2 linked regions of the Coturnix japonica genome follow. The protein of the gene in region 2 purifies or fractionates together with the protein of the main gene of each other region. This does not show direct contact. Links are inferred from orthologs where the notes say so. Each region holds a gene or a part of one and is shown on either strand. Other genes may lie near its edges.

Region 1 (4,436 bases), on a different chromosome or scaffold from region 2:
CCTCCTCCTGAGGGTCTCCAGGGCCCACAGCATATGCAGCTCCCCAGTGAGCTCATCTCAGCTCTAGCTCTGGATTCATTTCTTAGCCAAAACAAACAAAAAACAAACAAACAAAAAAAACCCCGCAGAAGCTATTTCAGAATTACAGGCTTCCAGTGTCTATGAGTAGTGCTGCATTTGACTGACAGATCTGGGCACCCAGAAGTTTTGGAGCTGATGGGTACAATGATACAGGTACTTTAGGATTTGTTTCCTTCTTGCAAGGATAGGAGGATAGGTAATCCCTGTTACATACAGCTTTGGACGTGGCTTTTGGCCTCTCTTTGACCTTTTGCCACAGAGCCAGTAAGCAATGGGATGGCTGACAGCAGAGTACAGCCTTTAAGGACTGTAAGTTGGTAAATGGGTATTTTTTCAAGAAGAGATAGCTTCTTGCTAATGGAACATGGCAATGCATTCATTCGTTATGCGGTTTAATTATTACAGCTCATTGTTAACTTATTGAATGCTTCTCTGCATTCCTGTCCTCTTCCAGAAAGAGGGAGGCCCGGAAATGCTTATTTCAAAGTTGATTTTCCAGTTCAGTTCACAGTTCATGCAATACCAGCACTAAATCTCCACTCTGCTGCTGCCCAGTCTGGGATCAGCTGGGGGTTTGCATAGAGCATCTTCCATTAGGACTGGTTGATCAAAAACACTGGAAGTGTTTCAGAAGAGCACAGAGGAGGATTGTTCTGCAGCTTCCTTGTTTAACCATAGGTGAAGAAGCACACATTGGTTAACAGTGACACAGAAGTACCTGGCGCTCCTCGTGTTTCCCATGAATTTCTATCATGTCCCCAATCACCTTCACTTTTAGCTCCTCGGGGGAGAAATGCTTCACATCAAGATTTACAGAAAATTTGTCTTTCTCCAGTCGCATCTGTAAAACAAGGAGACGACTTCAGGCAGAGGTTTCAGCTTCATCAGACTCTCAACATGCAGCAAGTCACGCTCACGCTGGGCTCCCCACACGCACTGTCTGACCTCCTGTTTTCAGTCCTGGGGTTCTCATCTGGCTCTTGCTAGCCTGTTCCATTCATGCCCACCACTACAGCACATAAAACATGATGCTTTCTCTCTGGATAAACAGAGAATAGATATTTTCTGGGAAATAAGAAAGAGACTTTCTCAATCTGAATTTGTTAAAACTGACTCCTATCTACTTTTTCTGAGGTGTCTGGAGATTTCCAGTCTCTGCAGCTGGATTTTGCTAAGTCTTTCTGGAAAAAGAAACAGAGTGTGCAGCTGGCTGCAGCTCATCTGTGTCACTTGCAGGCTTTCCCCTGCGTCGTCACTCTTTAAAAACAAAAATAGCGTGTCTCAGCTGAGCAGCACTACCAGCTCACCCCTCTTATCTGAGCAGCAGGGCTACTGCTGAAACTCTGAGTCACCTGCTGCTCATCTTGCATCCTTACCTTCCATTCTGCACTTTATCATCTCCAGCAAATGCTGCTTTTTGCTTGCTCCTGAGGTTGAATTTGCATTTTCTGCCTGTCTTGGATAAGTCAGTGGGACACGGCAATGCAGGCTGGCTGTCTCTGCCTTCCTGCTGCAGTCACAGTCAGGGAAAACGCGAGCCTCCTGCAGCTCTGTTTTGGGACATGGAGGCAGCTTCCATGCCAGTTCTAGCTTTCTGGTTACTGGTTTCCTCAGTTTTACCTGGAGGGCTTCCTGCTCCTTTTGCTAGATTACTGTGAAGATTTCTCCACTGAAAAAGTCAGATGTTGATGTTGTTACCTGTGGTGCTTATTATGGCTGCTTCAGCATATGACCAGACCAGGTGACTAAACCAAGGGAAACATTAAGCAAAGATTAAGAAAATACTTCCCTCTCACTCCACTGGCTTTGAGTAACTCTTTAAGTTATTTGCACATTGGCATCTGACCTGCATGCTGAGCAAAGTCATTTGAGCTGCGTGCCTCAGCCCCCGAAGCAGATGGCCATTTAAAGGTCCTCCCATCCCATATCTCTCTGAAAACACTGCTCTGCCTGGCAGAGATGCTTTAGCTTGGGCCTTTCTACTCAGCATCTGGGGGCTCCCATGCTGCCTGGCACGGGGTCCCACTGCCCCTCTGCTTCTCAGGAGGACGCAGAATGTAAAATTTTTCAGGGCAGACAGAGAAATCAGGCTTCCTCCTTTCTCTTGCTGGCTTCTACAGTCATTCACAGCACACACACAGCTCAGTTTGTCTCTGTGCCCATGGCTGTGGCAATATTTGCTCTCAGTTACAAGTGATTAGCAGAGAGTGCAGAGGTCCTTGCCTAACACCAAGGAGCAGAGGCAAGAACTCAGCACTCTTTTCCTCATAATAGATTTCCTATTAACTACCTACAAGCAGTGTCCCAGCTCTCCCGGGTCCCCAGCTCCAGACCCGTCAGGATGTGCACCTAGTGGTAACAAGAAACAGTAAGCAAGGAAGATTACCTCTGAGAGTCCCGTCTCCAGCCAACTGGGCATCCGAAAGAAGGGGGATCTCATCAGGAAGGGGCTGAAGCTGGGGGACGTAGGGAGCAGCTCTGACTCCTGCAGGTGCTCTCCAAATAGCTGGTCAAAGATACGGCTCGGTGTTAACCAAGAAAACAGAGGTCTGCGGATCAGGGGGTTGTGAATGGTGATATCCATCGGAGTGCGACAGAGGAGCCAAGCAAACAACTGCTGCGGTGCTGTGCCCAGCACAGGGGGCAGCTTTATACCCGTGCGGCTGGCGGGGCCTCTCCCCCCGAGGCCTCTCAAATAGTGGTGTCAGGGATTTTATTGTCCCAGTCCGGGACTGGTCCCTTCAGCAGTGCCCAGGAGCGTCCGGGGGTTTGAACAGACTGCTAAGGAGGAGGGGGAAGGGGAGAAGAAGGACACTAATGGGACAGCAAGAAGCCAAGCTGCCCAGCCACCCTCTCTGCACCCCACGTGCTGTTTATCTGTTGAGTCCCAGGCAGGCTTGGCGGATGTTCCCAGCTGCTTTGGATGCCAGCAGGATCAATGCAGCTCCTATCTTTGGTTCACATGGAAAAGGACAAGGGACTGTTGTTCCCAGTGACGGCACCAAGGCTACAGTTCCCCACTGCACCCACGCGCCAAGGAAGGGCTCTGCCTTCCCTTAAAGTGAAGGAAGCCCCAGGCCTTAATGAGAGGGCAACATGGACCCCAAAAGGTCTGTGCTGAGGTACCCTGGTGTGCAGCTCTGCAGCCTGGTGAGCACCATACCTGAGCACCTGCTGGTGTGTGCACACTAAGGATGGTTTCCACAGAGCATCAGCTGACAACTCTTGTCCTTTGCCCACTCGAGAAATCGCTCTGCTGGAGAGGGCAGAAGAGCCCAGCACCCTGTGAGCAGAGATAAAGCAGGCACACAGCAGCCCTGCAGAGCTGCACCACTGCTTGCCTTCTCTGGGATGCAAACTACCTTGATCTGCCTGTGCCCAGCAGCTATCAGTTCAGATCATGAGGCTGGGTTCAGCCCAGCAGCTGTCCTTTAAGGACAAGAGCTCTGATTATCTGCAACTTAAATACAGACTTCTGGCTTGAGGGCACATGATTCTCACTGCTAGCACCACCGGTCCCCTGCAAAAGGGCTCGACTCTCTTCCTGTTCACTTGCCTGCAAGATTAGGGTGTAGAATTCTCTCTGCAGAAGCCCCAGCCATAAATACTTTATCCAGTTCCATGTTACGTCAGCAGTAGTGCACCTGCTCTCTCGCACTGCAGAGACATGGAAATCTCTGGTTTCAGAGTACAAGGAGCTTAAATGGGTACTAACACCCAGTTTAGTAAAAGTGGATCTAGGCCAGTTTCAGACTCTGGTTAATGCACCACCTCCAGCACAGGCATTTCTCTGGTCCCACTGAGCAGCACTGAAGCCCTGGCCAAGGCACAGCCTGGTCAGCTGGCTCACAGTGGCACAGTTCTGGAGTGTCAGCATCATGGTCTGCACCCTGTTCAGTGCCACTTAGCGGTCTGCAGCACCTTACCACTCCCAGGAACAAAAGACTCAGCTTCTGGGGGAAACAGATCCCTTTCTGTGGGGTTGATATGAGCGATAAACTCACAGCGATGACTTTGCATGACTGCACACAACCTGACCAAGCATCAGCCACCATTAGGCATAGCCCTGTGCCCTGCTGGGTTGGCAGGGGCAGTGCTGGGTGCCCTGTTCCTGCCTCTTGTTCCCTGCCCAAGGTGGAGAGCCAGGGGGTGCAGGATTGCACCCCGCCGGCAGTCAGAGCCTGCAGCTCTACAGGAATGCAATGAGGAGCTGCCCTCGTCACCCTGGCGAGGCGGCCCGGGGCCTGTGTGCACAGCTATTTTGGTCCGTCTTTTTATCACACACTCCTCCCTGTGGAATTCACCCAACTAAAACCTTGCAATCTGCAGCCTTCGCTCTCAGAGGCAGTGAGAGC
Region 2 (3,811 bases):
CAGATAGTTCGTTGTGCCTCATATGGCAGTGAACAGTAATTCAGACTAAAGTGGTATTCCCTACTAACAGTGTATAAATTACAGATAAAAACCCAAAGTGAAAAATTGCACTTGGCAATTTTCTTTAGCAAGGAAAGTAAAATTCTTTGGTAAGCATAGACACAATGCATGGAATCTGTTTCTTGGCATTGAAATCCTGCCGAGTGGAACAGGATTCGTATTCTGCCACTCTGCGATTTACACGAGTTAAAATCTGCATGAGTTCAAGTTTCCTGGCATGTTCCCTCAGCATTCTGCACAGAGACTGAATGAACCAGGAGCCTTCAGCTGCGTTCCTCCAGGAGTAATAGCCTGTGGAAGACAAGGAGACCAAGCTGATCAGATGTAGCAGCCTCTGACACAGGACAGGACAGCAGTTATAGAATGACACAACATACCCAACAGCAGAGAAGGGCTTAAAGTAAACAAAATAAAACCCCTAATCAACAAAGTTTAGATTTGACAGTCCCTTCAAATTTCAACCCAAAAGGTTTTTCTAACCATCTGTTTTTCTAATGTGAGAAGATTTTAGGTAGGTGAAAAATAATCAAAAGGCAGGAGAATTATCTTCTGCTCTCACACGTTAATTATTTACTACTTCATTACAGAATACGCACATGCAGGAGCAGTGACAGCACAGCGAGAGCCAAGATGCAGAACAGATTTCACTGCCACTACCTTCAGCTCTAAAAGCATAAACTGATAAATAGACCTTATTCCTGATAATTGATAATGCAGTGGGCATACTAAGGGCCCTGATACCACTAATTCACTTAGGTTGCAATGAGATAGAGCTGACAGCCAAATAATACTTTGGTGTTTATCACCATTTCTGTGTGTATAAATATACAGACATCTGTATATAATATATATAAATATACATAGATGTCCAATTGCTCTGTTCTTTCAAAATTAATAATATCCTTTTTCCTGTTGCAAATTATTTGCACAGCTCAGATTAAATCAATCTGCAGCACATTCACATTTGAGACAGACCTATAATGAGCTTTTTTCTAGGAAATGAGAGCAGCAAGTGATACAAAGAAAATCAGAAACTTCGGAGTAATCAGCCACTGCATGGAAAAGGCTGCCAACTGCCAGCATCACTGCAAGCAGATACATAGATACACTTTGAGCAACAAATCCTTTCTTTGCAGGCTTCTCACCAGGAGCAGTAGAATACGCATACAGGAAGTCTGCTTCCACAGGTATTTTCTGACACACCGTTTCATCTGGTCCGCTGTCTGCTTCAATACCTGAATCTAATTCTGTTCCTCTACAGGCCTATTTGTTGGAAAGAGGAATGGACAATAAAAAATAAATGAGAAAAGGCAATGATCGTAATGACAAGAATATTATCAATATTTTCAGCTTTGAAGACGGTTAGACTAGAAAGACTCATATGAAAAGTTATTAGCATTTATTTATATAACCTATTTGGTTAGAATGGCTATTCACATGAAAGTACATTCAGAAGCTCACTGAAATACTGGCCAGCATTCAGAAAGATTTTGCACCACCTTAACTCATTCAAATTAAGGTGATTTCAGCTATTATAAGTACTAAGGGAGCAGACTACTCCAACGTTAGACCTGATGGGAGTCTTATTCTGGAAGTAAATCCCTATAAAGCAATTTAGGAATAATTATTCTGTACTAGTGGGAAACAATTTTCTGAATTATTCTTATGATTTGATGATCACTATTCAGTTGTACCTCACCTGAATGAAAAAGAGTTTGGGTTTCCCTGCCAGACTTCTGCACTTGTCACCTCTGAAAAGGCTTGTTAGTACTTTCAGTTCAAGAGGGCCATCTGTACCATAGAAGAGTCCTTCATCGCCATGGCTTAGCAACACACAAACAAAACTGCTTCGCTTACTGTGATCTTCTTCAGAAACTTGGAAGAAAAGAGAATTAAGTTATTGCATTCTCCAGGAAGCTTTGGACATTGTGTACTTCCCATGTGACAGAACTCATTAAGAACAACTGTTCCCAGATCTAGAAACCTCAAACACTTTTCACTTCTAATACAAGGAGCTGGTGTACTTTACTTCATAAAGTCAGACTTAGAAAATCCTAAACTTAAGGCTGATCCTACCCATTGTAGAACGTGACCACGTGGAAAAAATGGCTATGAACATTGTGAAGAGACAGAGTAAGTTGGGGGTAATGATTCAGCACACACACTATCTCAGATTTTAAATGATACACCTCACTCACATGGTCAATGGGATCAGGCTGATGGGAAGTGAAGGCTTGTTTCTCCATACATTTCAAACCTCTGGATTACATGGCAACTGTACTAAGAAAACTGATGATGCTAGATAGACCTAGGTACTAAGATTATACTTTTCCATTTGTTCTTGCCTTCAAGAAGCAAAGTTTTATTATAGAAGAATTCGGTATTATAACAAAAGCAATATTAAATTATGCGATCTAACGCCATTGCTCTGTTGTATTTATCACAGAATGGCACGGGTTGAAAAGGACCACAATGATCATCCAGCTTCATCCCCCCTGCTATGTTCAAGGTCACCACCCCCCAGACCAGCCTGCCCAGCGCCACATCCAGCCTGGCCTTGAATAGGCCAGGGATTCCCCTGAATAGGGATGGGGAAGGTCTAGCAAGATTTTACAGGTTTCTGTGTTTTGTACTTAAAGACCTTTAAGCATGACATAAAGCTTTTCATCTTGTGGTATGTAACGATAAACAAGAGACGTTCTATGTGAAACTGTGAGGTATGTTCTTGATGACCCAGATGATTCCTTCAAGTATATGAAAAGACACAAACAAGGTTTAAAGGAAGAGATCCAAAAGGAATTTTGAGTGGGAATCTCAAGAAAATGCAAGAATTAGTAGACAGAAAAAACATAGTCCTAAAAGCTGAAATCTTCTGTTGAGCTTGCTGAAATACTGAATTTCTATTCTAGAAAAACTGTTTTTATTCTTCCCAAACAATGCATGCTCAGGCATTCCTATAAACTATGGACAAGCACTACATCTATAAGAGTCAAGAAAAGCTAGTTTTGCCATAGTTTACACCATCCGTCTGGAGGTATACCACAGGTAAGAGAATGTGACCTTCCACTTTCAGCTTCTGCCAACAGATAAGCTGCAAGTTAACTAAGCCTAGGAGTCTTCTCTGGCATGAACATTAACTGGCACTAAATAGCCAAATCTATGCTTCCAAACATATATATTTAAAAAACAGGGTTGCTGCAGACTAGTTTACTGTTGGGAATACTCCCTGGAACATTTTCACTGCTGAACTGTTTCTGTGACCAGAAACAGTTTGAAAGAGTGTCACAGTTGTGCCAGAGAACCTTCCAGCAGTTTACTGGAGCAGACTATTTCAGAGCAACAGAACACTTCCAGGCACCATATAATTTACTAGTCTAGATGTAGTCAAGTCCAAACAAAACAAGATCAATGCAAACAACAGTATAAAGATTTCACTTGAAAGACAGCTGTTTTGCATCACAAGCCAAACAAAACATGAGTTACTTCCCTAGAAGAGTAATTCAGTCCACATACTTGTAGTTCTGGCCGGTTGATAAGAACACCTCTTGGACCACACTGCCCAGAACCCTTCTACCCAATTAAGTAGGTTTCTTCCCAGCTCACAGTTTCAGTGAACCAAAGGTCAGAAAACAAATCATTCTGCATTTAAATTTCAGAAGATGATAGAAGATGAGAAAGGATTCTGAGACAACAGTCATGGCACAAAAGACCGAGAGGCAGCAAAGATGAATTAACATGGGAACTATGATGT

What was found.
Region 1: the proteins of CASP3 (region 2) and CRYAB purify together in Homo sapiens (affinity purification with western blotting; 3 studies listed by BioGRID). This does not show direct contact. The link is inferred for Coturnix japonica from reciprocal best matches to the Homo sapiens genes CASP3 and CRYAB.

The regions. Positions count from the first base shown.
Region 1 is NC_029539.1:5,449,157-5,453,592, reverse strand, and holds the start of CRYAB (alpha-crystallin B chain), read right to left. Parts: upstream 2,869-4,436; 5' UTR 2,666-2,868; coding exon 2,468-2,665; intron 2,392-2,467; exon of another isoform or gene 1,458-2,391; intron 923-1,457; coding exon 800-922; intron 1-799. Other genes in the region: HSPB2 (heat shock protein beta-2), read left to right, coding at 4,284-4,436. UniProt on the Homo sapiens protein: May contribute to the transparency and refractive index of the lens. Has chaperone-like activity, preventing aggregation of various proteins under a wide range of stress conditions.
Region 2 is NC_029519.1:34,966,971-34,970,781, reverse strand, and holds part of CASP3 (caspase-3), read right to left. Parts: intron 1,936-3,811; coding exon 1,760-1,935; intron 1,324-1,759; coding exon 1,206-1,323; intron 352-1,205; coding exon 125-351; 3' UTR 1-124. UniProt on the Homo sapiens protein: Thiol protease that acts as a major effector caspase involved in the execution phase of apoptosis. Following cleavage and activation by initiator caspases (CASP8, CASP9 and/or CASP10), mediates execution of apoptosis by catalyzing cleavage of many proteins.